Alligator mississippiensis: one gene and its partners. The protein of the gene in region 1 purifies or fractionates together with the protein of each later gene. This does not show direct contact. Links are inferred from orthologs where the notes say so. Each region holds a gene or a part of one and is shown on either strand. Other genes may lie near its edges.

The links.
Region 2: the proteins of SOD1 (region 1) and TPI1 purify together in Homo sapiens (affinity purification with mass spectrometry; 3 studies listed by BioGRID, with this or other methods). This does not show direct contact. The link is inferred for Alligator mississippiensis from reciprocal best matches to the Homo sapiens genes SOD1 and TPI1.
Region 3: the proteins of SOD1 (region 1) and PRDX5 fractionate together in Homo sapiens (co-fractionation; 3 studies listed by BioGRID and IntAct, with this or other methods). This does not show direct contact. The link is inferred for Alligator mississippiensis from reciprocal best matches to the Homo sapiens genes SOD1 and PRDX5.
Region 4: the proteins of SOD1 (region 1) and ENO1 fractionate together in Homo sapiens (co-fractionation; 3 studies listed by BioGRID, with this or other methods). This does not show direct contact. The link is inferred for Alligator mississippiensis from reciprocal best matches to the Homo sapiens genes SOD1 and ENO1.

What each region holds. Positions count from the first base shown.
Region 1 is NC_081824.1:290,747,608-290,755,261, forward strand, and holds the start of SOD1 (superoxide dismutase [Cu-Zn]), read left to right. Parts: upstream 1-4,652; 5' UTR 4,653-4,710; coding exon 4,711-4,785; intron 4,786-6,886; coding exon 6,887-6,980; intron 6,981-7,654. UniProt on the Homo sapiens protein: Destroys radicals which are normally produced within the cells and which are toxic to biological systems.
Region 2 is NC_081824.1:244,003,903-244,011,035, forward strand, and holds the start of TPI1 (triosephosphate isomerase), read left to right. Parts: upstream 1-4,129; 5' UTR 4,130-4,189; coding exon 4,190-4,301; intron 4,302-6,664; coding exon 6,665-6,788; intron 6,789-6,901; coding exon 6,902-6,986; intron 6,987-7,133. UniProt on the Homo sapiens protein: Triosephosphate isomerase is an extremely efficient metabolic enzyme that catalyzes the interconversion between dihydroxyacetone phosphate (DHAP) and D-glyceraldehyde-3-phosphate (G3P) in glycolysis and gluconeogenesis.
Region 3 is NC_081838.1:4,440,004-4,447,646, forward strand, and holds PRDX5 (peroxiredoxin-5, mitochondrial), read left to right. Parts: upstream 1-4,642; 5' UTR 4,643-4,735; coding exon 4,736-4,750; intron 4,751-5,377; coding exon 5,378-5,512; intron 5,513-5,879; coding exon 5,880-6,011; intron 6,012-6,442; coding exon 6,443-6,481; intron 6,482-6,724; coding exon 6,725-6,789; intron 6,790-7,105; coding exon 7,106-7,211; 3' UTR 7,212-7,429; downstream 7,430-7,643. Other genes in the region: ESRRA (steroid hormone receptor ERR1), read left to right, coding at 5-121, 279-401, 511-678, 762-1,046, 1,250-1,479; TRMT112 (multifunctional methyltransferase subunit TRM112-like protein), read right to left, coding at 2,609-2,710, 3,330-3,422, 3,558-3,659, 3,985-4,065. UniProt on the Homo sapiens protein: Thiol-specific peroxidase that catalyzes the reduction of hydrogen peroxide and organic hydroperoxides to water and alcohols, respectively.
Region 4 is NC_081836.1:10,361,258-10,368,623, reverse strand, and holds the start of ENO1 (enolase 1, (alpha)), read left to right. Parts: upstream 1-4,352; 5' UTR 4,353-4,391; intron 4,392-7,366. UniProt on the Homo sapiens protein: Glycolytic enzyme the catalyzes the conversion of 2-phosphoglycerate to phosphoenolpyruvate. In addition to glycolysis, involved in various processes such as growth control, hypoxia tolerance and allergic responses.

The DNA of each region.
Region 1 (7,654 bases):
TTCAGAGCCCCAGCCTGACCCCTGGGCTTGTGCCAGCTGCTCCCTGGCCCCTGGACACCATGCTTCTGTGGTGCAGGCACATGTAGTCTCCAGCAGTCCCACAGGCTGTTGCGCATGAGCAGGAGACTGACTGGGAGGACTGTCCTTCCAGGACAGGCTCCATGCCCTTGAGGAGTGGGACACTGTCCTCCTCAAGAGGATGATGGAGGTTCAGGAGAGCAGGCCACCATGGTGGCCTGGGCAGTGGAGGTCACAAAGGAGGACCGTCAGGTGCCTGACACCATCTTGGCCCTGGCAGCCACCTTTGCACCACTCGCTGCCCAGCCGCCAGCTCCGGCTTTGCTTGCTTCCTGGTAGCCACCCACTGCCCAGCTGCTGGCCCTGACCCCAGCCCCGACCCTTGCTCCAGTCAGACCTGCTCCCTGGCAGCCAGCTGCAGTCACATGCCAAGCCCCACAGTGGGCCTGGGAGGAGGTCCAGTGGTGCCTGCAGTGGACAGGGCCCCCCACCCTGCTCCTGAGCCAGCTCCCCTCCCAGCCAGGCTGCCCATCTGGGCTGCTGCCCACCACTCACCTGCCTGCCATGTAGGTGTTTTATTGATGGTGGGTGTTGGGTGGGAGCTGTTGTTGGGGAGGGAGGGTGGGAAGGAGTGTGTTGTGGTAGAGAGAAATAAAGATTGTTGATTGAAAACTATACAGGATGCACGTGGTCTTGGGGGTGCGCTGTAGGCCTGAGGGCTGCAGGCAACCTCCCAGGTGCTCTCTTGCAGGGGGTTGGGGAGGAGGTGGTCCATGGGAGCCTTGCGAACATGGGGCCCTGTCTGCCGCTGCCAGGGGGAGGGTGGGGAGCGTCCATGGTGTACTCATCACAGGCTCCCAGAAGAGCATCCCTGGCCAGGCTGAGACTGCCTGCCATGAAGAACTCTGCCAGGCTGAGCCTACCCCCACCGGTCTGAGACCCCTGGCACCTGGGCAGCTAGATCGGGAGCCTGCAGCTCCCCCTGGCTACTGGAGGAGGTTAGAATAGGGCAGGAGCAGGCCTGGATCTGCTTAATCTTATAAGGAGCAAATCTACTCCCAACAGGGTGCATGTGTAGATGCCTTCCCAGGGCTGGTTTATTATGCAGTAAATTACCATGCACTAAGTCTAAATAGCATTAAATGCACGTGTAGACACAAAGCAGGGCAATGGGAAATCAGATGCTATTGTTGCTGTTCTAGTGTCACACACAGCTGCAAGTGCGCTGGTATTCTTGTTTCTATTCTACAGTCTGCTTTCTATTATGCTTTCAAAAAACCCCATTTTTTCTAATTTTTACAAGGTTTGCAAGGGCCAGTCAGAAAACAATTCCATTTCACAAAAAATATAAACGTTTTGAAATGTTGTTTTCATTCTGATGTGTAATGAAACTGAAACATTTTTTAGCAGGTGAGTCCCACATTGCAGCACTTCCTGAAATGAAGGAAACTCAAGTTCAGCTCCTTGCTCTGAATCAGACAGTGTCTCACATGTTAGCTGAGTGTTGTAACTGGGGGTTTTAACTGGGGTGAGCCACTGGTTACAGCACTTGCCTTGGTTGCAGAACTCAGGTTCAAGTGCCTCTGTTAAATCAACAAGACTAGGCAGTTGAACCTGGGCCTCTACTGTTTCACATGACGATTACCCATCCCTTCTGGGATAGTTCTTTGAAAGAAAGTCTATGCTGGCCCTGAGATCCTATACTTTTCTGCAAATCATTCAAGTTTTGATAAAACAATTTTTCTATGGGAAAAAGTTCAGTCTCCTCTAATCATCAACTCTACTGTGAGACCCTGCTTCCTGTGAGATTCTGAGTACACACTGGGTATCCTAAATGCCCGCTGACAGGAGATTGTAGATTCAGACCCTAGTTTTTCTATCCTTTCTAATCTTTAAAATTTTTGACTATAGTAATCCAATACAAAATTCCCTTTTCTTTTTCTCCTTCAAACTCAACCTGTGCTATAGTTTGCCCTTCCACCAGGTGGACTGGCTGGGAGATAGATGTCTCTTCTCTCTATTTTTTGACAAAAATTTTAAGAAGACAAAAGATTTTGGAGGTATTTGGAGTGAGATTTTAAGTTTAATTTTACAATATGAAAAATGTCCAGCATACCTACTGCCTAGGAAATGACCTGCTTGGTGGCATGGAAGCGGAAAGGGATCTTGGAGTCCTAGTGGACTCCAAGATGAACATGAGTTGTCAGTGTGACGAGAAGCCATCAGGAAAGCTAATGGCACTTTATCGTGCATCAGCAGATGCATGATGAACAGAACCAAGGAGATGATACTTCCCCTCTATCAGGCACTGGTCAGACCGCAGTTGGAATACTGCGTGCAATTTTGGGCACCGCACTTCAAGAGGGATGTGGATAACCTGGAGAGGATCCAGAGAAGGGCCATTCATGTGGTTACGGGCTTGCAGGCCAAGCCCTACGAGGAGAGACTAGAGAACCTGGGCCTCTTCAGCCTCCGCAAGAGAAGGTTGAGAGGCGACCTTGTGGCTGCCTATAAATTCATCATGGGGGCACAGAAGGGAATTGGTGAGGTTTTACTCACCAAGGCGCCCCTGGGGGTTACAAGAAAAAATGGCCATAAGCTAGCAGAGAGCAGATTTAGACTGGACATTAGGAGGAACTTCTTCACAGTTAGAGTGGCCAAAATCTGGAATGGGCTCCCAAGGGAGGTGGTGTTCTCCCCTACCCTGGGGGTCTTCAAGAGGAGGTTAAATAGGCATCTAGCTGGGGTCATCTAAACCCAGCACTCTTTCCTGCCTATGCAGGGGGTCGGACTCGATGATCTATTGAGGTCCCTTCTGACCCTAGCATCTATGAATCTATGAATAATGATGAATCTGCCATGGAGAAGGGTTGCTCTAAGAAGTAGCGTCTATAAGAGCTGGACACACCCTCACTTGAAGTGAAGCCAGAAGATGAGCAGAGAAGAATGAGAAGTAATCAGCTAGATCTCTGGCCTGACTTTGTGTAATTAGCGTCTGTATCTGACTACGAGGTTCAAATTGTGCAGGTGCCAATAAACATGATGCTTTATCATCTCACCTCATGTGAACATGGGATAATTTCAACCTAGCCCCATTGCTACAGGCTATGAAAGGAAGAAAGTTACAGCAATTAAGTATATTTTAAAAAAACCCATGACTGTGAGATTAAGCTTTTTGCTTGTGTTATGAAACATGTCATTTCCTTTACAGAAACTTCAGAAAGATCAGCTACAAAGCTCTGACAACTGGTGGAGGAACTGTGAGCACAAGCACAGCCCTTCATCACAAAAAAGAGATTCCTGAGTCCTCCTCTAGCCGAGTGAAGTGATATTATTACAGAAAGCCCCTGCTCAGAACAGCCTCTTTTCAAGGAGACTTGGGCCTGCATAATGGAGACTACTAGCACTACCAAGGAGGTTTGGAGGACAGCTTTTAGTTCTGAATGGTCTAAATCCAGTCTTCTAGGGCGCTTATGCGCGGGAAGCATGCTGCAACAGCACGTTGAAGCAGACTCTATTAACCGAGTCTGCCGGAGCACGTAAATTGATGAGTTCTGGCAGCGTTGTACGTCATGTGTATCAGCGGCGCAGCGTACCTTTGTGCTGAGAAAATGGCAGCAGTGCTCTTTGAACACGTTCAATATGCTTTAGTTCAAAGCACCCTGTCGTTTTTCTCAGCACAGGGATATCCTATGCCTCTGATATATGCAGCACGTGGGCATCTTTAATTAGCACAGCTTGCTCATTAAAAGCACCCAGCACCCCGTTGGGAGCACGTGTGAAAATGCCCAGCCAGTGCTGTTACATTTGGAGTAAAAAGCAGCTGGGGTTTCAGGCATCCTGCTCCTGTTTCTGCCTCCCTGATTTGAAGCTCAAACAGTCGCTGCAGATAGGCACTGTGAATTGGGGCTTAAATAGCATTTGACACCTGTGCCTGGCATGCTGCATTGCTGTGTACATGAGCAGCGGTAACCATGTTGCATAATCCTCAGCCTCCATCCAGCAAATTCTTACTCGCCTTTACTCACTACTGTCTGGTTGCCTGAGAGGTGAGGTGGGCCCAGGTTCGTTAGAGTAGGCACAGCATCTGTGGCATATTTGAACAGAGGTAACAGTCATAGCCACGGAGTGCTGCAGCTTGGGATGGCTGCCCCAGCCCTAACGCCCAAGATGAAGCCTGCAGAGCTGTGCTTAGTCAGACCTGGCAGGGGTGAACTAAAGGTGGCAAGAGCATGTCTAGCTATGAGCAACCATCCCCCTCGGGGCTGAGGAGACAAAGGCAGGTACTTTTGCAGCCCTGGGACGCGCACGCAGCACGCTATGCTCACGCATGCGCACTGCTGCGCCCAGGGCGAAAAAGGCGGAGGGAAGGAGCTAAGGGCGGAAGGACCTCGCCCCCTCCCAAGATCCAGAACGAGGTCTTTCCCCAGCACCTCAGAGCAGGAGCAGCGTTGCGGCCGCCGATTGGTGCGCCAGCAGGGCTCCGCCTTTTGATTGGCGGGTGGGCGCGGCTGCTGTTTCCTGATTGGCTGCGAGGGAGGGGTGGGATAGAGGAGGCGGTGCGAGCGGGGAGGAGCAGCACCGTGATTGGCTGGAGGGTGCCGGGCGGATATAAAAGGAGTGGCGCAGGGGCAGGAACACGCCAGTGCGCGTTTCTTCGCAGTGTAGTTAAGCTGCTTGGCGCGGGGGAACATGGCGGCGCTGAAGGCTGTGTGTGTGCTGCGCGGGGACGGGCCCGTGTCCGGCGTCGTCAATTTCGAGCAGAAGGCAAGGGCTGGACCCCGCGCTCCCACCCCGGGGCTGACGGCGGGTGTTACGTAAGCTGCGCGGGAGGTGATAGGTCAGGCTGGAAAGTGCTGAGTCATGCGAGGGGGTGGGCACGTGTGTCCGCGTTTCTCGCGATTTAACCCGGGCCGGGGTCCTGGGATCCCCGCTCTGCCTGGTGAGGGGTGGTAGGGGAGAAGAGGCAGCAGCTGGAGCCAGGAAAGAGCTGGGTGCTGGGGCTGGCCCCGCAGTCACTTGCTTTGATATTATATTGTTATTGATTAAAAAGTAATATGGTTAGTATTGCTATCAATCTGATGCTGCTGCCACTAATGCTAATAGCTGTGAGCCAGATCCAACCTAGGCAGTGGTGCCAGCCAGCCTACAGTAAGTGGCAGCAGTGCCAACTCTGCTCCCCTGTTGCCACAATTCTAAGCCTGCTGGGCTGGGTGGCAGGGTGGGCACTGCTCCCCTACACCCTTGCTTCAGTTTAGAGACTAGCACAATGCCTGAAGCCAGGGTGTGGAAAATTGTGGTCTCGGAGCTGTAGCAGCAGGTGGTCTGAGCAGCCTGTCAGTGCCTGATGTGCCTAGTCATGGGTGTGGAGCCGTCCTCCTCTGCCCCGGCTTGAAAGCAGTGAGCTGTGCGTAAGGGGTGTGGGGGAATGCTGCAGTAAGGTGCTGCTGCATGTGGTTTTGGATAGATAAGGCCAAAATGGGTTTTTAAGGGCTCTTAACTAAGATCCTTGTTGGGTTAAATCTAGGAGAGTGCGGAAGGGAAGTACAAACATGAGTTTGTCATTAGTGTGTTTAACTTGTGATGTATCTTGAAGAGTATACACATGGTGTACAAAGGTGTGGCCTTTGATAAAGGTCTTAGTGTTGCTGTGAAAGATGAGGGCTGACTAGCTAAGCTGCAGCTTCCTAGAAGAGGACCTAGGAGTTGGAGTGGATAATAAGCTGAATGAGGCAACACTGACCTTGTTGCAGAGAAGGCTAATGGTATACTAGGCTGTATTAGTAGGAGCATTGCCAGCAGATTGAGGGACGTGACTATTCTCCCTTTATTAGACTAACTCAAATAGAATAAAGATATCAGACTTGCCTGAAGAACCCTGTTCCCCTCTGTTTGGCACCGGTGAGGCTACATCTGGAATACTGTGTCCAGTTTTGGAGCCCCCACTACAGAAACGATGTGGATAAATTGGAGACAGTCCAGCGGAGGGCAGTGAAAATGGTGAGGGGGTTAGGGGTGTTCCTTGTATCTAACCTTAAGTTTCTCACCAGGAGGATAGTGAAGCAGTGGAACAGGTTACCCAAAGGTTGTAGACTCTACATTCTTGGAGGTTTTTAAGTCCCGAGTGGACAAAGCTTTGGCTGGGATCTAGTTGGGAATGGTCCTGTTTTGAGCAGGGGGTTGGACTACGTGACCTCCTTAAGTCCTTTCCAACCCAAATTTGCTATGATTCTGTGACACTGCAGTAGTTCTATAGAAGAAAATTTGGGTGGGGGGAACCCTCTGAGGTTATGGAAGTAAATGGGTCAAAAGGCAGCTGTGTGCACACTTGCAGTCTGAATCTTGATGCTAGAGTCATGTGTTCAGACCAGTGATTCTCGACCAGGATGCTGTGGCACCCTAGGGTGACTTGATCCTTTTGGAAGCTAGCACTGCTGGGTATGCAGACATGCTGTGCATGATAAATTCCCATTTGAAATCTCTGGGTTATAATATTAAACATTTGGACCTGTTCTGGTGCAAAGAACATGGGAAGACCACAAGAATTTTTTTTTTTTTTCTGTAGTAACCTCCCCCCCCCCCCCCCCCCCAAAAAAAAAAAAAAACCCAACAAAAAAACAAGAAGTTTTCCAAGGAGTCTAAAAAAAGCTTGAAAACTGGTTTAGATGGAATGAGTCTGCCTTGGGGGTGTGACAGCACACAACCATATACTGCATTAGCTGCAGTCCTATACAAACCACAGGACTGAAGAATGCATTCTCAATCAGGAAGTCTCAATCAAAGCTTTACTCCTTTGTATGCTTATTTACAATTCTGTAATGAGTTAATAACAAGCTAGAAATTTTATTTTCTTCTTTTTGTTTTGAAGGATAGTGGACCAGTAAAGCTGTCAGGAAGCATTCAAGGTTTGAGTGATGGAAAACATGGCTTCCATGTTCATGAATTTGGAGACAACACTAATGGTACAGTTTTCATCCAGGGTCTCAATGTAGCACTATCATAATGCAGTTTGGCTACTAGCTTATTGTATTTGATGCAGCCACTTTTATTTTTTGGACACTGGTTAATAGACAGCTGTGGTAATGCTTCTCACTTCAATCACATTCCTTTCATGCATAAAACCTATGTATGTAAAAACAAAGAAAGGAGTTGAAATGATCTCAGCATTGTCTTGCTGTTTACCAGCAGGAAGTGATGGCATAGATGGCAACATGTCTGAGCTACTGTTATTCCAGCATGCAGTTGTAAACCTGATGCGTGGGCCATAAGAGGCTGTTTAATACTATGGCTGTGGCACCTGCCAGCAAGTTAAGCTAAACACAAATGAGAACCTATTTCTTGGATAAACTCTAAATGGCTCCTTTCAAAACTTAAGTTAAGATTTGACTCTTGGTGGAGCTTGGCTTTTTCAATTGTGATCTAGGGCAGTGTGAAGAAGCTTGTGCAGCACAGCATAGTTTCGTAGTTGGTAGGGTTGGAAGGGACTTGAGCAGATAATCAAGTCCGACCCCCTGCCGTGGCAGGAAAAAGTACTGGGGTCAAATGACCCCAGCAAGGTGTTCATCCAGCCTCCTCTTAAAGACGCCCAGGGTAGGAGCCAGCACCACTTCTCTTGGAAGCTGGTTCCAGATCCTAG
Region 2 (7,133 bases), about 47 Mb from region 1:
TTTTTAGAGTCTATGCACCTGTTATATTACATTTGAGGCCCCCCTCAGAAAATGCCAGCTCTTTAACACACTTTTTTTGACTACAGAAAAATACCAGAGCAATTCTGTTGCAAAGAACTCAGAAACACTATAGCAGGCCAGAATGTTTTTAACACTATGGATTCCGATTTGAAATCTCTGAATTTATCTTGTGAACATGTTTGCACACCAAACAGTGCTAATATTATACAGCATCTTATGGCACCCTTGAAAGGATCTTGGGGCACCTCTGGGTGCCATGGCACCCTGGTTTGAGAATCACTGGTATAAAGAAAGGGACTCATGCAGGACACAACAGAGCCCACAGGTGTATCTGACCATTGTTTGGGGAGGGGGGGTCTTTAAAACAGACCTTATAAGTATGCCAAGTGCAGTGCAGGAATAGTTCTCTAGCTTGTGTAAAAGCACAAGAGTCAAAGATTCACAGAAAGATGTAGAAATGATACAACAGGAATGTTGATTCTGTTTACAAAAGGGGGATAGATATTTTCACTAACAAACAGATGTTAAGATCATTTTCATAGGTGTTGCTGCAGACACTATTGGGGGGGGAGGAGGTGCATTGTTCCTTGATGCACTTGGCTTGGTAAAGCATGGTTAAAGGAAGATGCTGCTGAAACTGTCAGCTCTGAGCTTTGAGATGGGTGTTTAAAGCAGAGCAAGAGGCCAAAGGAAAGGATGTATTTGTTTATTAGGCCAGAGGTAAGCCCTTTTGATGGAGTGGCTCATGGCTGTTTGTAAGGGGTATAAAAGAAATACAAGATGCCACTTTCTCTTCAAACTTTGTGCTGACACAAGTAAGCTACTGAATTACAGATTGATGGCACAAACCCAATTCTTTTGTGACCAAAGGTGAGACAGGCGTGTATCTTAGCCTGGTATTGTACTTTTTTGCCATATGACAGGGAGGGCATCGAGGCAGAGAGCATGTTCTGTGACCTGCACCCTGAGTCCATTTTTCCTAAAGCAGTTGCTTTTGTAGATGATGTTACAGTGATGATGACAACCTTGGGGGAAAAAAACCAAGCAACTCCCAAGTGTGTATGCCTACTGATGAAAACATCTCTGGGGCTTTGTAGTATGTTAAGAGTAAGACAGGCCCAGGTCATGGCTTTTAAAAACTAGTGGGAATCATTATGTCCACAGAGGTTGTGAAGCCTCTGGCTGAGGAAAGTCCAGTGTTCCTGGAGCCAACCTTTTTGGCAGGGATGGCACAAGATGAGCTCCACACCCTCCCCAAGTGCCACTCCCATCCCCTTCCCATACCCAATCTGCTGCTTTTGGTTGCTATTCTGTGGTCTGATTGGATGTCCTCTGCTCCCTGCCCAGTCTGTTATCTGCTGTGCACCACAAGAACCCTCTGTGCTGCTTGTGACATGCTTGACACAGGTTGGCCACCCCAGCCTAGAGAATCCAGATGGCAGGGGGAAAGCGGGGAATGTAACAGCCTGTTAGGCGATCCAGGCTGGTAGAGGATATGCTTGAGTAGCAGAAACAGGCACCTCAGGCCTGGTCATGTGTGGTATAGGTGCATGGTAGTCTCTAAACTACATCAGCAGTAGCAGATCCCACTGCTGTCACAGGACAACCATTCAGACATCCTTTGTGATAGCACAGGACAAACTGTCAGCACCTCTTATCCTAAGAACCTTTTGGGGGCTTTGTCCTGTGACATCTGAATGCTCACATTTTGTCGGGGGGGGGAATATTTTCTCTTGGGACAAGGGTGATGTCTGTTTGTAACTGAATGGTCAGGGTTTGGAGGAGGGGGTGAAAGCATCAGGCCCTAGTAGAAACCTGTGAATGACAGAACAATACAGTAAGTGATGTCTAGTGTGACAGCAACTACCTGTTTGCTCTAAAGAAAGGTGAGTGGATTGACATGGGGTATAAGATGAGAAGATGGGCCTGGAGGATATAACAATATCATCTATACATTTTTCGGAACCTTTTAGGGGAGGCAGGTGGACATAGGCCAGGGGGGTGGGGGGGAGATGGGCCTGGACCTGAAGGGGAAGTAGGGTGGAAACAGGCCCGGAGGCTTGGACAGGGGGGGCGGCATGCTTCCCTCATTCCCGGTCATTCTTGATGGGCAATTAGTTAATTGTATTATATCCATTTATCAAGTTTGTTTGCAAAGGAGCTGGCCATTGGTTTGTAATCAAGCTTTGAGTAGGGGACACAAAGTTTTTTTTAACAAAGGCATTTTGATACTACTGATGAAAAGGAAGAGACAGGTCACCCTGTGTAGGCCACTCATTCCATAATAGGTCCTCTAAAGTTTCACTGTGGAGTCTGGCACAAGCCCCACTTTCTCTGCTACATCTGGAACTGCCAAGCACAGTTAAAGGCTGACTTCTATTAGACTTGTTGGCTGATCAGAGGGTGGTTTTTAAAACAGGAGTCGGGGGCCAGTGAAGAGGCTTTGGGCAGAATCGTATTTCATGATGTGGGTGCTTAAGTGCCACTTACAGGCTGTTTTTCTGGTATCTGTCTTAAGTGCAGCACTAATTCACTTTTTTCAGAATTGAATGGCACTTACTTGGCTGTTTACTACTGCAGTACACATCAGCCAGGTAACTTGTACCCACAGCCACTAAGCATGCTCCTCCACAGAGATCCTAGTCATCTCTGGAAATGCACAGTGGCCATTTATACCCCGGAGCAAATCTGTCCTGTTCCTCTGGGCATCTAGTGGTTTTCCAAGACCAAATAGAAAAATAAATGTAATTATGCAAAAAGTACAACTAGCAGGATTCAGCTGCATTGGCAAGTGCTACTGCTTCTGCTGCATTACTTTGCAGCCAATTGAAACCTGGACCATAGATAAGGGGCCCTGGGATCCTGGAGCAGTACTAGGCTGGGGGTTGAGGGGGACTCTTAATGGAGGACTGTGTTGAGGCCAGAGAGAGGCCAAGGACATGCTCCTGCATCCTGTTGGTAGTGTTGGCTACCCAGCCCCCAGGATGCTTCAGCTCTGGCCACATTGCTGACCTCAACTACTTCAACAGCAATCATGCAGAGGGGGCCCAGGGCCAGGGTCCAGGAGCAGCCTCAGACCCATGTGTACCTGCCTCACCAAATTGTTGAGGAGCTGGCAGATGTCTGGAGTTGTAGGTGTGTCCAGAGGCAAATGTGGTGCACTAACCTTGCTGTTGAGGGCTATGGGCCAGCACAGCTAGAGGGCTCTGCGTTCTCTAGCAGGCTACATGCCCCCAACTTCTGGTAGCCTGCCTGTTGCCCACCAGGCTGGATAGAGATGCTCTAAGCTAGATCTGGCCCACGTGCTGCATGTTTGAAGCCCTTGACGTAGACCATGGCCACTGCTGGACACAGGTAAGGTTCCATGCACCTGACAAGCCTCCTAGTGAAAGCTCCCCTATGCCTCCTGGCCGCCCTGCTGAAGAAGCACCCTGCCCCACTGCCTTGGGTCCCTCCACTTCTGGAGAGACTCCTTGTTCCAGCCCCTGACCACCCCCTTGCTGCTTCCAGCTTCCACAGCAGGCAGGCGTGCTCCACCCCAGGTGGTCTGCAGTCCTGGGTCTCCTGAATGTCTCCAGGAGTTAGGCAGTAAAATCAGGTAGCTGAAAAAACCAACACAGCCCCCCCCCCCCAAAAAAAAAAAAAAGCTCTGTGTATAACGTGAGCAGAAGACAACACAGATTTGCACTGCCTAGTGATACTCGACCAGGGTGCTGGGCACCTAGGGGTGCCACAAGTGTCTTTTGAAGGGCCCCCTCAGCCCCCCGTGCTTCGTGGGCTAACTGCACCCTCTCCCCCATGTCCTGGTAGCCTGCCTATTGCCCAGCAGGGCTTCTTGGGCTATGACAACCTGTGAGGTGGGGCAGGCAATCATTCGTCACTGAGACCCAGGCAGAGGCAGGTGAGCGCACACGCACAAGGGCGGTGCAGGAACCTCGTGTCCCCCAAAGCAAGGAAGCGCGGGGCAGCGGGAGGGAACAGGATGCGCGGGGTCTTCCAGCGCGGACAGGGGCCGCTCTCTCCCCCTGGGAAACGCCCCGGGGGCGGGGCGTATGGAACGCGGGGCGGGGCTGCCCAGCCGGCCTATAAAAGCGCGGCAGTGGCGACTGCGCGGAGCTTTTGACCTTGCCTCGTCCTGAGCCGTCGTCCTACTTGCTCCGCTCCAGCTATGGCGCCCAGGAAGTTCTTCGTGGGGGGGAACTGGAAGATGAACGGCGACAAGAAGAGCCTGGGCGAGCTCATCCACACCCTCAACGGCGGCAAGATCCCCGCCGAGACCGGTGAGAGCCGCGCAGCGCGGCATCCCGGCCCTGCAGCCACTCGCGGGGCGGGTCTCCGCGCTGTGCCGCGCCGCACGTACGCCCTGGCTCGCCTCGGCCCACGTGACGCCGCCGCCGGCTGCTGCTTCCTCCCGGCCCCGGGGATGCTGTGGCGGCGCCCGTCCGGCTCACACGGGCTGGCGCTGCCCCATCGTGGGGCGGCTGGGCGGGGGTAGGTAGGGTTGGGCTGGAGCTACCCGCTCCTCTGCCTCGCCCTGGCTCTCTGCGGGACAGGACTTCCTAAGTTGGCACGTGGCTCGCCCAGGTCCCTGCTCTCCTGGGCTGGGGCTGGGGCTGGCCTCGCTTCCCTTCCCTTTAGGGCAGCAGCTCTCAAGCCTCTGAGACTCCAGGCTGCCCTTGCTGGGCTGCAGGCAGGCCTGAGGAAATTCCAGCTCTTGGCCTCTTCCATGTTTCCCAGTGGAAGAGGAGCAGGGCACGTCTGGTGGCAGAAGACTCCAAAACCCACAGGGCAAAATCGGTTTAGCACCACGGCTTCCTACTTGAAATCATTGGGAGTCACATTGGCATGCTCTAGAGCATGGCACGGCACCCTGAACCTACTTCAAGGCACCCCAGGGTGCTGTGGGAACCTGGCCAGGGATCACTGCTCTAGGACTTGACATTGCTTTGGTTCCAATGCTAATTGAGTTAAACCAGTACAGTTAAAACCAGGCTTAGTTATGTTGTTTCAGCTTTGTGCACATATCTGGCCTGGTCCTCCCTCCCAGCCCAGGCTTTGTGCTCCCTTACACAGGGCTTCTGCCCCCATCTCCCTGAGGGTTGCTTGATATCCTGTGTTCACAACTTTAGCTGGGCTCCTGCTCCTCCTCTTGGTGTCCTTGGGACATCTTGGCTCCAGGCCAGCAGGGGAAGAGCAGGACTCATGGAATCTTCCTTCTCTTTGGATGTCTGCCTCCTGCCTCCTCAGAAAGGGCTAGATGGGGCTGGGGGAGCTGTTATTCTGCGGGAGGCACCCTGAAGAAATGTCAAAGGGCTGTGAGGAGATGGAAGCCTAAATATAACCAATGGTGACTGGGCTAAAAATATCGGCTACTGTACTTGGTGTTGGAAACCAGATTCCCTCCCCCCTCTCCCCCTTCTAAAGGCCAGAGGGGAGGGGAGCTGGGGCAGCCCCTGGGGCTATTAGTTGCAGGTACTCTCCCTGAAACTATCACAACCCCCTCCTTTTTTGGAGAGGGCAGTGCTGAGTACTGTAGGCTTCCTTGCTGCTGCCTTCAAAGTGGGTGGCTGGCTGGGACTATAACGTCCCTGTTTGGGGTAGGCATCCTGTCTCATCCTGGTACACAGACTAGATGGCAGAGCTCCATATGTATGCAGATAGGCAGTGTTATAACATGGCTCCTGCACCCAGACTCTAAGCTCCATGCTTGCCTTGGTAGTGATTGAAGCCTGTGTGTTCAGTGGACAGGATCAGACCTGCCCAGTGGAAGAACCCCCTGCCCCTCCCTGTTTTGCATCTAATTTTTATGTTTTCCTTCACTTGGCAGCAGCATCCCTTCTGTCTCCACCTTTTCTGGCCTCCACTCGTGTGCAGGGAAGGTGAACACACTGTCTACAAGAGAGTGCTGCAGTGGTGGTTTCCCCAAGTTCAGTGTCCGAGAAGCATCAGCCGGACAGCTCTTTAGTTACTGTAGTGGGACAAGCTGTACTGTGTAGCTGTAGGGATAATTGAAGCTTCACTGGGATACATGTAGTTCAGGACTTGTAGCTCTACTCTTCAGGGACCTGAACAGTGGGGCTTCTGCTCCCTTTCATGGAGTAATGATTCCTTAAGATTCCCAGTCCCCTCAGTGTTGGGTAATGGTTCCTGACCACCTTTTTCCTGTCACTGTGTCTGTTCCCCCTTTATCTTGGCCTTCCTGGCTCCCAGTTACACTTATAATCCCCTGTGCAAGTCAGTGCTCCCCTCCTTACTCTCAATTCATCTAAACTATCTGCAGAAAGAAAAGAACAACTTTCAATTGGACAGTTCCCAGGGGTCCTTTGCTCTGATTTGGAAACCTGAAACATTGCATCATCCTGTTGTTGAGAGATGTGAGAAGTGGTTTCCTATGACAGTGTTCCCCCTAAGTTCTGTGAGCAAGGAAATCAAACTGCATCAGCAATAACCCTCCTGCTCTAGTGGGTCCTTGAAATTCAACAAAGCTGGCTTGTGATGGGTTGCTACAGCTTAACAGAGCTGAGAGATGGGTTGGAGTAGGGGTGAGCACCTGGGGGCAAGGGAAGTTCTACAACTGGAGGGTGGGTCAGATCTGACACCCTGCCTGCTCCCCATGAGGTTTACTCCATCTTTTATCTTTCAGAGGTGGTTTGTGGAGCCCCTTCCATCTACCTTGACTTCACCCGTCAGAAACTAGATGCAAAGATCGGGGTTGCAGCACAGAACTGTTACAAGGTGCCAAAGGGAGCATTCACAGGAGAGATTAGGTGAGCCTGCAGTCGCAGATGGAGCTGGTGGAACAGAAACTGAAACTTATTGCAACAGGTACCCATTTCAACACGGACCCCAAAACTAATGTTTCTCCTTTCTTCCCATTCAGCCCAGCCATGATTAAAGATGTTGGAGCTACCTGGGTTATCCTTGGCCACTCAGAGAGAAGGCATGTTTTTGGAGAGTCTGATGAGGTGAGTGATTTTTTTTTTTTTTTTTTGCAGGGTTGGGGCGAGGTGAAAACAAACTATCTTTTAACATCTTCATGGGCAGGGGGCTAGAGCTGCCCTAGAAGGTGAACACTGGGAGTGAGTCTGACCATAGCTCAAGCTTTCTTCCTT
Region 3 (7,643 bases), on another chromosome or scaffold:
CCAGGCAGCATTGAGTACAGCTGCCCGGCCAGCAGCGCCTGCGAGATCACCAAGCGGCGCCGCAAGGCCTGTCAGGCCTGTCGCTTCACCAAGTGCCTGCGCGTTGGCATGCTCCGGGAAGGTAGGGGCTGCGGGATGGGGGTGAGGGGCACCGGCAGGGGTGGTGGGTCAGGTGTGGGGGGCTGGGGGAGCAGGAGCTGTGGCTCCCCCAGTGAGGACACTGGCAGCTCCAGTGCGGGGGTCCAGGCCACCGCCTGACCCCCTTGTTCTCCCCCCAGGAGTGCGGCTGGACCGGGTCCGGGGGGGGCGGCAGAAATACAAGCGCTGTTCAGAAGCTGACGGGACCCCCTACCTCAGTCCTCCTGCCCCCCCTGTCATCATGGCAGCCAGCAAGAAGTCCAGTGAGTGTGCACGGGTCTGGGGGGGGCTGCAGGTTGGGAGTGAGGGGTACCAGCAGGGCTGGGGGGGTAGGGGTCAGCGGTCACCCTGACCCCTCTTGCCCCCCCCCAGCCCCGCTTCCCACTCTGGTGTCCCACCTGCTGGCGGCTGAGCCCGAGCCCCTCCTGGCCATGCCTGACCCAGCACTGCCTGAGGGGCCCCCACGCGTGGCCACGGCCCTGTGCGACCTGGCAGATCGCGAGATCGTGGTCATCATCAGCTGGGCCAAGAACATCCCCGGTGAGACCTGACCCCTGCCCCCCTCCCCTGCCCCTCACTCCCAACCCGCACCATCCCCTAATGCTGCCCCCCATGCCCTCCAGGCTTTGCAGGGCTCTCCCTCCCAGACCAGATGAGTCTGCTGCAGGCAGCCTGGCTGGAGGTGCTGGTACTGGGTGTGGCCTGGCGCTCGTTGCCCGGGGGAGCTGGGCCCGACCCTCCCCCGCTGGTCTTCGCCCAGGACCTGGCGCTGGATGGGGCGGGGGCACGGGCGGCCGGGTTGGCCGAGTTGGGCGCTGCCCTGGCCCAGCTGTTGGCACGGTACCGGGCCCTGAGGCTGCAGCGTGAGGAATTCGTCTTGCTCAAGGCCCTGGCGCTGGCTAATGCTGGTGAGTTGTGGGGGACAAGGGGCTGCAGGTCAGGAGTGAGGGGCGCCACAGGCACGGGCCGTGGGTTAGGAATGAGGGGCACTGGCAGAGCTGGGAGGTGCTTGCAGAGCACCCCTGGGGCATGGGGACTGTGGGTCAGGAACGAGGGGGCACCGTGGGGCTGCAGGGGAACAGGCCCCCTGACTTCTGCCCTCTGTGCACAGACTCGGTGCACCTGGAAGATGGGGCGGGCGTGCAGCGGCTGCGGGACGGGCTGCTGGAAGCATTGGCGGCACTGGGGGGGGCGGGCCGTGCCGGGCGCTTGCTGCTGACGCTGCCCCTGCTGCGGCAGACAGCTGCCCGGGCCCTGCGGCACCTGCAGCGGCTGCAGCTTGGTGCCCGTGGTCCCCCCCACAAGCTCTTTCTTGAGATGCTGGAAGCCATGATGGACTGATGGATGGGGCCAGGCAGACCCACGTGCCCTTCCCCTCCTCCTCAGGGACCCCCAATGGATCTGGGGGCAGACAGATGGGACAGATGGGGGGGGGCAGGGGGGTGTGGCCAGACACACAGACAGCCCCACGGAGGCAGATGGACTGGACAGACGGGGATTGGGGTGGGGGGGTGAGGCGCACAGATCCATTGGACAGGAGCTGGACATTCAGATGGATTGAAGGCCAGACACGGATGCGCAGGGGTAGGGGTGATGGACGGACAGACTGGGGTGGAAAGTGGGGGATAGTGGATGGACACACGGGCAACTGGGTGGGAGCAGAGGCAAGACAGTTGGACTGGACCAGACCAGGGTGCACAGACAGACTGGACTGACAGAGGGATCCGGGGGCAAGACAGAAAGACAGCCTTAGGGCTGACCCATGGCCAGGCCACCCATCCCAGGTGGAGGCAGATGTGGGTGCATGGTCCACGGGTCCTTGTGTCCCTGGGGGGCTGGACAGAAGGACAGATTCTGTTGGGGGCAGGGCTGGGAAGCCAAGTCCCAAACCCCTGGAAGCCATAGACCCCTGATTCCCCCCCCCCCCACCAGTTCAGGGGGGCCTGAAGGGAGCTCAGCACTGGATGGGGGTCCCCCTCCTTAAAGCAATAAGTAGCCCTGGGCACTGTTGGCAGGGGGGAGATAGGGCTGATCTCCCCTGGGGACCCCAGGACTGCCCCCCTATCCCCAGCTTGGGGAGGGTCTCAGGGACCCCCCCCCCCAAAGCAATAACCCTTCTGTACATAGCAATAGCCCCATCTGGGCTGAGGGGGTCATCCCCATGTCCCCTCCCACCAGGGCTTGGGGGTGGGGCCTGGGTTAATTTATGGAGATGTACATATGCTAAATACCTCGGGGGCGGTGGCGGGCTCCCCCCCCCCCCGCCCCAATAAAGCGTGGAGATCTCGGACACCCCTGGTCGCTGTGTCTTCATTGGGGGGGCTCCGGGTTGGAAGTGGAGGCAGGGACAGTACATCACAGCTCTCCACTTCAACCCAACCGAGCTTTATTGATGCAAACAGACATAGTCCAGCCCAACCCCCACACAAACCCACCCCGTCCTGCCCCCCCTTGCCCCCGCCCCAGTCCTTCAGGTCTCCTCCTCAGCCAGCAGCATGTTAGGGATCCCCTTGGTGATGGGGAACTCGTGCCCCGAGTCTGGGCAGCGCAGGATGCCTTCCACCACCTCCACCTGTGGGTAAGGGAGAGGTCAGGCAGGGCTGGAGTCTTCCCAGGCAGGAGACCAGCTTCCCCCCCCCCCCCCCCTCGGCATCCACAGCAGTCTGGGGGAGATGGGTTACATGTGTGGGGGAAGGATTTCGGGGTGACACCCCTGGTGTTGGCGGGGGTTACCCCTGTTCCCGCAGCAAGCTGAGGAGGGGGATCTGGGAGGGGCTGTCAACCCCAGGGGTAAGGGGGAGGCAGGGTGCTCAGGCACCCCTGGGGGAGGGGGTGTCTGGGGGAGTCTAGCGGTCTGTAGGGGGTGGGGGAGGGTATAGGGGCCCATGGGGGGGCCCTGTGTGTGGGGTGCAGGAGGGGGCATTAGGAGTCCATGGGGGTGCTCAGGGGTTTCCAAGTGTCCCTGTGACAGTCTGTGGTGGTGGGGGAGAGGGCACGGGAAGTCAGGGGAGGGTGCTGAGGGCCGTGGTGCCATAGAGGTGGTGTGGGGGCCCATGGGTGGTCTGGGGCAGCTTAGGGACCAGTGGGGGATGTCTTGGGGGTTTCCAGGGTCCATGCGAGAGTCTGCATGGGGTGGGCAAATGGGGGCACCTATGTGCGGGGAAGGGTGGCGGGGGCATCGGGGACCTCACCTCCAGCAGGACGTGGTGCAGACGCCGCAGGAAGTCCTCGTCGCTCTCGTAGCCGGGGGCGGGCTCGGGGGGCAGGTCAGAGCCATGCCCCAGCTGGGGGGAGAGGGGGGAGGAGTCACCCGCAGGGGGAGGGGCCAGCCCTGAGTAACCACGCCCACCCCACTGCCCTATGTCCCCTTCATTGCCTGGTCCCAGCCCCTCCCACCTTAAGCCCCGCCCCTCACTCACGCTCTGGGCCGCCTGCAGCAGCGCCGCCCACTGCACCTTGGGCACCATCCGCGCCACGAACTGCGCGTTGAAGTCCACGGGGCTCAGCTTCACTTCCGTGGCCTAAAAGGGGACGGGGTCATTCGGGCTGGGGGCGGCAATAGGCCATGCGGGGGCGGGGCCTTGACACGAGGGAGGGGCTTGGGGATCCCCATGGGCGCCTGGGGGGCGGGGCTACGGGGGCGTACACTTCGCGGGAAGTGCCCCCGCGCAGAAGAGGACGGGGCCGGCCACGTGTGGGGCGGGGGCGGGGGCGGGGCACGTGGGGGTAGTGCTAGATCACGGGAGGCCTCGCAGTGAGCACGTGGGGGCGGGGCTACGGGGGTCCAGGTGGAGGGAAGGAGCGTCCGTGGCCACGTGGGAGGCGGGAAGGGGCGGGTGACGGCACCTGGATGCCCAGCGGGTAGCCGCCGCCGGGCCGCAAGCCGCGCACGTGCGACGTTAGCAGGTTGTGCGTCAGGAGCTTCATCCTCCCGCAGCGCCGCCGACTCCGCTCCCGCCGGAAGCCGGGTGACTGCCGGTCCAGGCGTCTTGTGTGTCCGTTAGACACCACTTCCGGCCGTGGTGTGCTATTCGGGAGGGTCCGGCTGGGAAACCCAAATCCCAAGAAAGAAGCTTCCGGCACGCTCTGGTTCCGGCGTCTTCCCGTTAGAGTAGGCGAATACTCTAGCGGGGCGGGGGGGAGGGAGAGATATGCAAACGATATGTAAATCGTATGCAAATTAATCAAAACGTGTGTGGGCGGGTTGAAAGTCCACCCCTCCCGCCCTTTGCACCATATGCAAATGAGATGCAAACCAGCCGTGGTGAAATATCGTCCCCTCATTTCCTCACGCGCGAGCCAGTTATATCAATCAGCTGTGATTGAAACCCTCCTCCCTGCCCCCCCGCCGCGTGCCGATCAGCTGTGATTGAGTAGCCCCTCGCATGCAAATGAGATGCAAATCAGCCGCGACTGGCTGCGCCTTGACCGGGGGGGTGGGGGGCGTGAAGTGATCTCTCTCCGTGGGAGTTGTCACTCAGGGCGTTGTCATGGCAGCGGGGGGCGGGGGGTTGCCGCAGGCGGGGCCCCCCCCAGGCCCAGGCCCAGGTCCAGGTCCGGCCCAAACTGACCGGCTGGAGGAGCGCGAGGAGCTGCCATGGCGCCCATCCAGGTGAGGGCAGCCGGGCCCCCTGTTCCGTGCATGGCCCCCCGGTGCAGCCCCCTCCCTCCCCCGGGTCCCTGGAGTTGGGGGGGCAAGATGGTGGGTGGGGGGGGTCAGTGACCGACCCCCCCCAGGTCCTGCGGCATCCAGGGGCGAGGGGGGGCTGGGCACAACCAGGCGGGGTCTGGTCAGGCCATGGGGGAAGGGGGGGCATAGATGGGGTGGGGGGCTATGGGGGGATCTGGGGTCTTTTGAGGCCCCACAGCTGCACAGAGTGGAGGTCGGAGGCATGTGGGCACTGGAGGGTCTCCTGGCATGGGAGCTGGAGGGGGGGAAGGGATGTGGAGGGGGGCCCTGGGGCACAGACTGTGCTGGGGGCAGGGCTCTGTCTCTGTGTGGGGGGGGGGTGTTCCTGGCAATGCTGGGCAGGGCGGGGCGGGGCGGGGGCGTTGTGCAATTCACTGGGAAACTCCAGGGAGCGGCTGAGGTGCTGCCCGGTGCGGGGGGCGGGGGGGGATGTGACTGCTTCCCCTTGGCAGCCCCAGCCCCCCCTGATTCCCATAGTGGATTTCAGAGCTGTTGGGGGGGGGTCCTGGCTGTGCTGGGACCCCCCCATACCTCCCCCTTCCCCCCCAGGTAGGAGACCGCCTGCCCAGCGTGGAGGTGTTCGAGGGGGACCCTGACACCAAGGTGAACCTGGCCACGCTCTTCCAGGGCAAGAAGGGTGTCCTCTTTGGGGTGCCCGGCGCCTTCACCCCTGGCTGCAGCAAGGTCAGAGCCCCACTGGACCCCCCACAGCGCTGATCTGCCCTAGTCCCCCTCTACAGCCTTGGTTACTCCCCCATACCCCCCAACACCCCCCAGACCCCACCCAATACCTTCCTGGTCCCTCTTAGGTTCCCCCATGCCCTTCCCTGCCCCCCGCAGCTCCCTCTATTTTCCACTGCCCCCTGGAAATCCCCTGTAACGTCCTTTGCTCCCCCCACCCACCAACACACCAAGTCAAGCTTGCAAAGTGTTGTGGGGGCTGGGATAGGCTTCCCCTTATATCCCTGGGCCCCGTGGGGTCAGGACTGGGGCTGGTGGGCACTGTCTCTGGGGGGTCCCTGATGCCCCCATGTGTGCCCCCCCACCCCAGACACACTTGCCAGGGTTTGTGGCAGAGGCCAAGGAGCTGCAGGGCCGAGGCGTGGACCTGGTCGCCTGCCTGGCCGTCAACGATGTCTTTGTGGTCAGCGAGTGGGGCAAAGCTCTTGGCACCCAGGGCAAGGTGAGGGGGCCTCAGGGGATGATGGAGGGCTGAGGGGGGGGGCAGCATTAGGGGTGGGCGGTGTTTTGGAGGTGAGGGAACTGAGGCAGGGGTGGGGGTGGCCTTGGAGGGGAGGGGGGTTGGAGTCCGTGGGGTGAGGAGGGCATGGGGGGCAGGATGGGGGGTTGTGTGGAGCAGGGACGGGGCAGCTGACTGGGGGCTGGGGCAGGGGAGTGTGGTGGTGGCAAGCCAGTGGCAGGGGCAGAGAGAGGATTTTTCCCTGCCCTTGCCCAATTCCACTGCCCCTCCCACCCCTGCCTGGGGCAGTTGACTCAACTTCCTGGGCCACCCCCATTCTTGGCAGCCCTGGTTTGCGTAACAAGGGGTTGTGTAACCATGTGGGGACTGTTTCTGCCCCCACCACACTAATCCTCTTTCCCCTCCCCCCCCAGGTGCGGATGCTGGCTGACCCCACCGGGGCCTTTGGGAAGGTAAGGGGGGTGTGGGTTGGAGTGAGGTGCACTGGCAGAGTTGGGGGTGGCAGGGGAGCAGAGGGCTGCAGGTCAGGAATGAGGGGTACTGGCTGAGCGGGGTTGGCAGGGGCTGTGGGCCAGGAGTAAGGGACACCGGCAGGGGGCTGTGGTGTGGGAGTGAGAGGCACCTGGGAGGGGGGCATCAGGCCAGGATTGGGTTCCTCCCTTCCCCTGCTGAGCCCCCCTCTTTCCTGCTCCCAGGCCACTGACCTGCTGTTGAACCAGGACCCGCTGCGCCAGCTTTTTGGGAATGACCGCCTCAAAAGGTGAGGTGCCCCCAAAACAAGTCCCCCTTATACATGTGCCTGCAGCCCCCCTTCCCAGCATGCAGCATGGCCGCTGGTGGCAGCTGGGAAGGGGGGTGATAGGAGAACACAGGGTGGGACCCCAAGGTCTGTAGGGTCCCCTTAACTGCTTTGGGGTCCCCAAGTTTTGAGGGTCCTTGTGGGGGGTTCCCAATAGCAGGGGGGGATAAGGGGGTTGTTGAAGGTTTAGGGGATCTTTGGGAGGTGGGGGTGCTTTGGGGGGTTGGGGAAGGGTCTGGGGAACCCCCCTCAGCCCTGACCCCCGATATCCCCATAGATTCTCGATGGTGGTGGAAGACGGGGTGGTGAAAGTCCTCAACGTGGAAGCCGACGGCACCGGACTCACCTGCAGCCTGGCTAGCAACCTCCTCTCCCAGCTGTGAGGGACCAGGCGTCTGGGCCCCCCACCCCATACTCCCAGTTTTGACCCAAGAGCCCCATTGAGACAAGGGGTAGGGGCACATCTTGCTGCTGCAGCTCCTGATTTGGGCCTGTAGGGGGTGCACAGGCTCCACCCCCAAGCTCTGGCCCCGCCCCTGCTGCTGAGGCCCCGCCTCCTGCACCCCCACTTTGCTGGAATAAATGGCTCTGTTCAGCTCAACCTGTGTGTGCATGATTGGGGGCCGTGCCCCGAGATGGGGGTATAGGGCTGTGGTGGGGTAGGGGGCTCTGGATTGCCCCAAGCTGGGCTCAGGGGGTACCAGGTGCTGTCCAGACCCCCCAGGCCAGGATCAAGGGCGTGCTGTCCAGGCACCCCAGGCTGGAATGGGGTGGGGGGAGTGCTGGGCACTGTCCAGACCTCCCCCAGGTTGGGA
Region 4 (7,366 bases), on another chromosome or scaffold:
ATGTGACCCGGCTGACCTGATCAGAACATTAAATGTCCTTTCACAGCATCTGATGAAGTGAGTTTCAGCCCACAAAAGCATGTGCTCTCCATACACACTTTAGGTAGTGTATCACAGGGGTGGGCAAAATGTGGCCCGCGGGCCGGATGTGGCCCGCCAGACCATTGTATCCAGCCCATGGGGCCCCTACAAAATTTAGAAAATCAATATTTATCTGCCCCGGCTGCTTGTCATGCGGCCCTCGATGGCTTGCCAAAACTCAGCAAGCGGCCCTCCACCCAAAAAAATTGCCCGCCCCAGTCTATAAGGTGCAAAGCTACTCTGCCTTATATTTGACTTCAGACCAGCAGAGCTATCTATGTCTCTCTAATCAGAACAGCCAGTCCAACAAGTACCCTTGGAAGCAAAGTAGTTGGAAGAGACTGGCAGCTGGTAGCAGGAAGAGACTCTATCTTTGCTTATGGATCAGGGTATGTCACAACTTCCGCAGCTCACACTGGCTCTGGCCATAGACTTTTTGGCATGTCAAGCAGAAGCTTTGAGTCCAGTAAGGCTTTACTCAGCTGTGGGCTGGGAACAGCTGATAGTGCAAGATGATCAAGTGAATCCTAGGGGGGAAAGTATTTCTCAGCGGCTTTGTCAATGGGGAGTGACTCGCACAAAACATCACATTCTTATTATACACCATGACAAGGGATCCCCACTGACTCCATAAAAAGCAAGCTATTAATTTCCAGAGCTGGGACTCTGCGCATTTTGTGCACAGTTCAACATCACATGCCTTTCAAGTGTTATCCCAGTAACAAGAAAGAGTAAGTACAGCTGAGTGAATCAGTATCATTGAAAAGTTATCTGATTATTGTGCTTGTCACAAAATGTCCTTGAATGGAGCACAGTTTCTTTGGAAGTATTTATCACATTATTTTGACAAACAGTTTTGATTCCATGGCATGTGATACTAAACTGTCCTGGGAGATCACTTGGCCCTTGAAATATGCTCCTTCAGAATTGCTGCCAAGTTGCAATTGGTTAGATAAATCAGGTGGTATTTTATAGGTGTCCTCTGTCTGTTTGATGCATGAGCCCACCATGAGTGCACATTTAAAATTAATTTATTATGAACACACACACACGATTTGGCTTCCAAATCAGCCTTCCACAAGCATTTGTTGCTTTTGGCTGTTGACGGATAGTGAACCCAAAAGAGATGCAAGTGCTGTTGATATTGATTTGTTCCAAAATCCAAATGCATTTCACAGAACTTGTTGAAGAATGTCTCAGGGATGTATGTGGTAGCCATGTTGGTCTGAGACAAAAAGAAATGCAAAGCTCTAAAACTCTTGGTTCAGAGATGATACCTTTTAACTAAGAAATTGCAAAAATATTATCTTTCTTTGTAAGCTTTCGGGCACATGTACCCTTCTTAATTTCTCCTTAGCCTAAAGAAGGTGCATGTACCCGAAAACTTCCAAAGAAAGATATTTTTTTTGCAATTTCTTAGTTGATCTAATAAAAGCTATAAGCTCTGAACTCCAAAGTTCAGGGTTTTGCATTTCGTTGTGAAGAATGTCTTGCATTCAGAAGCTTGTCTAACTATCCCAACTACAGTTGTTCCAATAAAAGATATCAACCTATGAAATTCTCACCTCTCAGAATTTATCATGGTTCATCAGACAAGGTTCTTTGGGTGAATCTGATATCTTTTATTAGGCCAACTTAAATAGTTGGGGGGGGAAAACATTTAAATAAGCTTTTGGGTTTAAAAACCCTTCATCAGGCTGAGGAAGTTTCAGCAGTTGGTGTGTGCTCTTCCTGGATGGCATGAAAAGTAAAGAAGCCAGAGGCTGGTCTGGTCTGCATGCAAGACAGACAGTCAGTGAAGATGTAAATTGAGGAGTCAGTGGGAGAGAGAGAGGCTGGGTTGGGGGGAGAGACCATGCTTCAATATTTGTTCCTCATCCATTTTTGTGTCTTTATTTCATAGAGAAGTAAGGCTGAAACAATGTACCAAAGTATTTTCTTTTGTCTCTTAGGGACAGTATGTGTACAGGCAACCCTCAACTTACAACGTTTCGAGTTACAACGTTTCGCACTTACAACTTTTAGAAATTGACACCCTGTTTCAACTTTCTGACCTCAGTTTCAACTTTACAATGCTTGATCCGATGCGACGCCATGCCAGTGAACAAGTTCAAGACTTCAGGAAAACCTTCAGCCAAGACTCCTGAGAACACTCCAGCTAAGAGCCCTTCAAAAAGTCCAGCAAAGTCACCTCAAAGAAGTCCTTCCGAATCAATATGATTACTATTTACAGTCTAAATACATTAATCTAGCTATATTATGCATCTATAATTGATTGAGTACAAAATTCTCGGTTATTTTTGGTGAAAATAGGGTATTGGGCCTTGGTTCAGGAACCAATCCCCCATTTATAACATTGCATCCTATGGAAAAATCGGTTTCAAGTTACAATGTTTCGACTTAAGACAGGGTTTTCAGGAACCAATTGTGTTGTAAGTCCAAGGACTGCCAGCAGTCCGTTTTAAGCATTACTATCAGCCCCATCTTGAAAACACACAGCGAGTACCAATAAGTATTTCAAATACCTATCCATTGCAAAATATATATTTTTAACTGGCTGCTCTTGTTCTCACTTACAGGACACAGGCCTCCTAATCCAAAGCAGACTGAAATGAAAAACTTCCCTTGGCCTAAATCCAGCATTTTTTACACATCCCAAATCCCCATTGCTAACAATGCAATGGTCTCTTATCTTCAAATACTTAGGCACGAGCAGTTTTGCAGAGCACGTGCTCCCCATTTGCTAACAAAGAACAGCTCCCCCCTTGTCTTCAGAGTGACCATTTGGAGAATGGAAACATAAACTGTTCAGGGCCATTTTCTTCAAAGACCTTTTCAATTACTTGGCAGTTTTTGTGTTGCCGAAAGAAGATGCTTGTATCTGATTTGTGTTTCTGTGATGCTGCATATTAAAGGGTTGGGTTGGCACATGAAAGGATGCTACATTCACTGAAGTTCTGGTGCATTCTCTGTGCAATATGAAAAAAACCTGCTTTTCAAAGCTCTCGTTATGAGCCAATGCAGCATGTCATCTCTAGACAGGCAGTTTAGTACACTCCTGAGGTGGGGAGGAGGGATTGAAACCTGGCAGCCACAGTGAAATTCCCCTTGCCCATCCCCCTCGCAGCCGCATTCCACCCACCAAAACCTTATGAAGGGCTAAATGGCACTGCACGTGTTAGCTGCACAGATCAGTGCCTTATCTTTTGACCCTAAGGCCTGCATTTCATAAGGGGATAATAGAAGTGCAAAAATTCTTGCCGGCGCCGTGACAAGCTAAACTCACTGAATCCTCGCCGCTTAGCACCTAGCTACATGTCTCCAGCACCCCCCTGCCTTTCTTCTCCACAACTGCTTGCCTACGCTTTGTCCTAGCCTCTTCCTTCATCTTTCCTGCAGCCAAAAAAGAGAAGGGAATGGGACTTGTTGCAATTTCCTGATTTCGTCCATGATAGTGTGGACCAAACTGTTGCTTTTCCAGTTTCCTGAGCAAAATGAAAACCCCGAACGACTTCATTTGGGCTTTTCTTCCATCTGAACCAAAGTGTCAGCTTTTGATTTCAGGGTCCTCACCCCAGTTTTTACTACGAGTAACTTTAGGTAAATTTTCTGAATGAAAATCATTCCAAAAGGCAAAATCCAAACAGAGAAACCTTTCCAATTTATTATTATTTGATTGTTATGAATTTCTGCCCGATGCTGGGCTGCATTTGGGGGATAGTTGCAAATCCATCTGGAGGCCCGAAAGGACCTTCCCCAGCAACTTCGTAGTCCCAGAAAGCCAGGCCTGGCTCCAGTCCCGCGGTGGGCTGCCCTGGGGGCTGCTCCTCCGCTTTACCCGGGGCATAACCCTGCTGGCAGCACCCGGCCGCCAACCAGAGGCACCCAAAAGCACCTCTTTTAAAAAGGGGGTTCGGATTTGCAGGCATAGGGCACCCCCGCTCTTTGGGGCGCTGCTAAACCTGAGGGGGCTTTGCTGTGTGCATAGATGTGTGTGTAGGGGTGTGCATGTTTGGGGGGACACAGGGGTTAACCCTTGGCGGCGCGGCCCGCACGCGGCGCGGGGTTTTTCCACGGCGCCTGCACGTCCCGCACGAGCGCAGGGGCGGGGCGGCGCCAGGCCCCGCTGGGCCAATGGGAGGCGGCCGCCGGAGCCGGACGGACCAATGGCGTGGCGGGCCGGGCGGCGCATCTGCATGGGGCGGGTATAGGCGCGCGGGCGGCCGCTCGGCCCACTCTCTGCGAGCTGCCGGCGGAGACGGTCGTGTCGGGTCGTGTCTGGGCGCTGCCACTGCTGCTGCTGGGTCCCGGTGCGTGCGGGCGGGCGGGCGGGCGGGCGGGCCGTGGGGTTGCAGGGAGCGGGGGGCGCTGCGTCTCTCCCCCGCCGCGCCCCGGGCAGCGGGCCGGGCCGGGCCGGGCCGGGCGGGAGCAGGACCAGGACCAGGGCTGTGCGCTGGGCAGGCGGCTTCCCTGCTCCCATCGTCGTCAGCCCCTTCCTCGGCCCTCCTCCTGCTTCCTAGTCCCCATCCTTCCGCTTCTTCCAGTACTTCTTCACCTTCTTCCTCTTCCCTCCTTCCATTTCCTAGTCCCATCCACCCGCCCCCCACCCCTGCATCTGCATCCTCCTCCTATTTCCCCCCTCTGCATCTTCCTCCTCCTCCTTGTTCCTCCTATTTCCCCCCTCTGCATCTTCCTCCTCCTCCTTGTTCCTCCTATTTCCCCCCTCTGCATCTTCCTCCTCCTCCTTGTTCCTCCTATTTCCCCCCTCTGCATCTTCCTCCTCCTCCTTGTTCCTCCTATTTCCCCCCTCTGCACTTTCTACTTCTTTTCCCTCTCTCCATTTCCTTATCCTCCCCCGTGCCCTGAATCCCTCCCTCCGTCCTGGGTTTCACTCCCCTGCCCGTGCAGGCACTGTTGGGTGCAGAGCCAGGGCAAGGGCCTGGTGTTGAAACCGGAGAGCAGAGCAGCCCTAGCAACCCCATTCTGGGCTGCTCCCCTGCCTCGCATACCAGCTCCTCATCTAATCTGGGCAGAGCTAGGGAGTGATTTGCAAGGCCTGCAGGCCCCTGGGTCATGCTGATATCGGCCAGGCCAGGCACGCTGTAGCAGTCAAGCACGTGCTCTTTGCAGTGGGAACTAGACCTCTAGAAACGGCCTCTTATGACTCAGCCGCAGTAATATATGCAGGTTACCTAAGTCCTCCTTTTCCTATGACGTTAGTAGTGCTGAGTAGGAGTGCACCTCCCTGTAGTGAGAACTGAGTCATGCTGTATCGATGGAAGGGAGCAGCTTTCAGGGTGCGTATTTGTGTGCTGTTCTGCAGCCTGCTTCCTCAAAGACTAGATAAAATGCCCCTCTTAATGATTAACGGCCCAAGTGACAGTTTGTCTTGGATACTGCTCAGTCCCCTGGACCTTCTCCTCTCTTGCGACAGTAGCTGCCCTTCAGCCCTGGTTCTCAAATATTGAGTGTATTGCTCGACCAATGTTCTCTGCTAGCGGCTGTCACTGAAATCTGACCATGAAAATAATGAAATGTCCCATTGCTTTTGGAACAGGGTGGGAGGTAATGGCTGTAACCTGATGGGACTCTCCACTGTCTTGATGCACTAGTGAAAAAATGGTGCAAAGTCTCCTTTTGACTGGCATTGGGTTGGTGCAGGTGGTCAGGAGAGGAATTTTAGTCATCCAGACTTTCCGTTAATGGCTACGCTGAGTCACAGGGCAGGGATGCAGGCTTTGAGCTGTGCAGGAAGGAAGCCCTTGTTTCGCTTCCAAAACCACAAATGGAGGCAATGCAGTCCCTGGCCTCCACTTGATTAAAAACATGGACTCCGAACAGTTGGGCATTTCCTGACTTCTGCATTCCCTGCCACACTGGGTGCCAAGCACGGTCCTAAGGGCTGTTGCATGGAAGGCATACAAATGAATGAGCCACGTGCTGTATGTCGAGAGGTGGGATCTGAAGGAGTCCTTGCTAAGGTCATACTCTGACTGCATCTTATCTTGTGGAAGCGATGTGTCAGGACCTCGCCCTGCTGCATTTGCTCATTACCTGGTGTAGGTGAGGTTGCAGACCTCCAGGAAATCCTGTTCAGCACCAAGTGGAAGTTCAAGCAAACTGCTGGTGGCTGTATAACAAAACCTGGGCCCTGCAGAGAGGCAGGACTCTGCCATGGACGTGCCCTTGCGCTTTGGACTGTTTCATCGTCCTCAGCAGCCTGTCATATTGAGCAGCAACGAGTGGCTGTGTCCATCTTAGACCATATTTCCTTACCAGAACAGGGGCGTTTGCATAATGACTTGGCAAGTGTGAGTTAGCCACAGAATCCTTCCCTTTTTTGGCAGTGAAGATGTGGCCTAAAAGTCTCTTCAATCTGTTTAATCCTGAGGTTGAAATTGGCTTAATTTCCCATGCCAGCTGCTTGTGTGATGTACTGTCCCCATACACCAGAATTTGGATGGGACATAAGACATCTGAGAGGCTTGATGCGACAGAATTCGGGATGCTGCAAGTCCCAGCCTAGCGTGTGTTCCCTGCCTGCCTTTTCCTGTCTTCCTAATAGGAGAATTGACCCTGCTCATAGATCAGGAGCAACTTAGTTGCTCAATGTTTCCCTCTTTTTTTGTAACTACCAAGATACAAAGCTGCAGCTGTGCAGACTTTATATTCATGGCTCCATCTCCAAGCACTGAATAGACTCCAGGAACATTTCTGCTTTCCAAATCCTTTTGTAGATGTTGGCTTCTAGAGTCTTTTCTCCCTGGCATGCAACCAGCAACATGAAGTCAGGCAGGCAGGAGCATAGCTGGGTTGAGGTGGCTCTTGTTCTCCTTTCCCCTTCGTGGCTGAGGTCGAGTGAATCGGAGCAGGAGGCACCTGAGCCATGTCGGGTCAGACTATCTGGCAGACGGCTCTGTGCAGTTGTGTAACGCTGCAGCGCTGGAAACTGCATGGCTGCTAAGGAAGGGGAGGGGCTTTGGGGAGGGCATTTTGTCAAGGACGTTGGAGCAATGTGCCTCCTTGTCCGGGACCTTATGAGATGGCCACAGTGAGGAATGCTTAGGAGAAATAGTCTCCTGCTTGTACAAGGGAGAAGTTCACTGCTCCATTTCCTTGTGAACTGACATCTCTCTTGGAAGGTGGGACATCATTTCTTTGATTGCACTGCAGCCCTGAAAATGAAAGCAAGATGCAGCCCATAGGAGAGCCTAATGAGCTCTGCTGTTTAAAAGCAGCCTCAGTTGGATTATAGGGATTTGGGCACAGGGAAAGGAAACGCTAC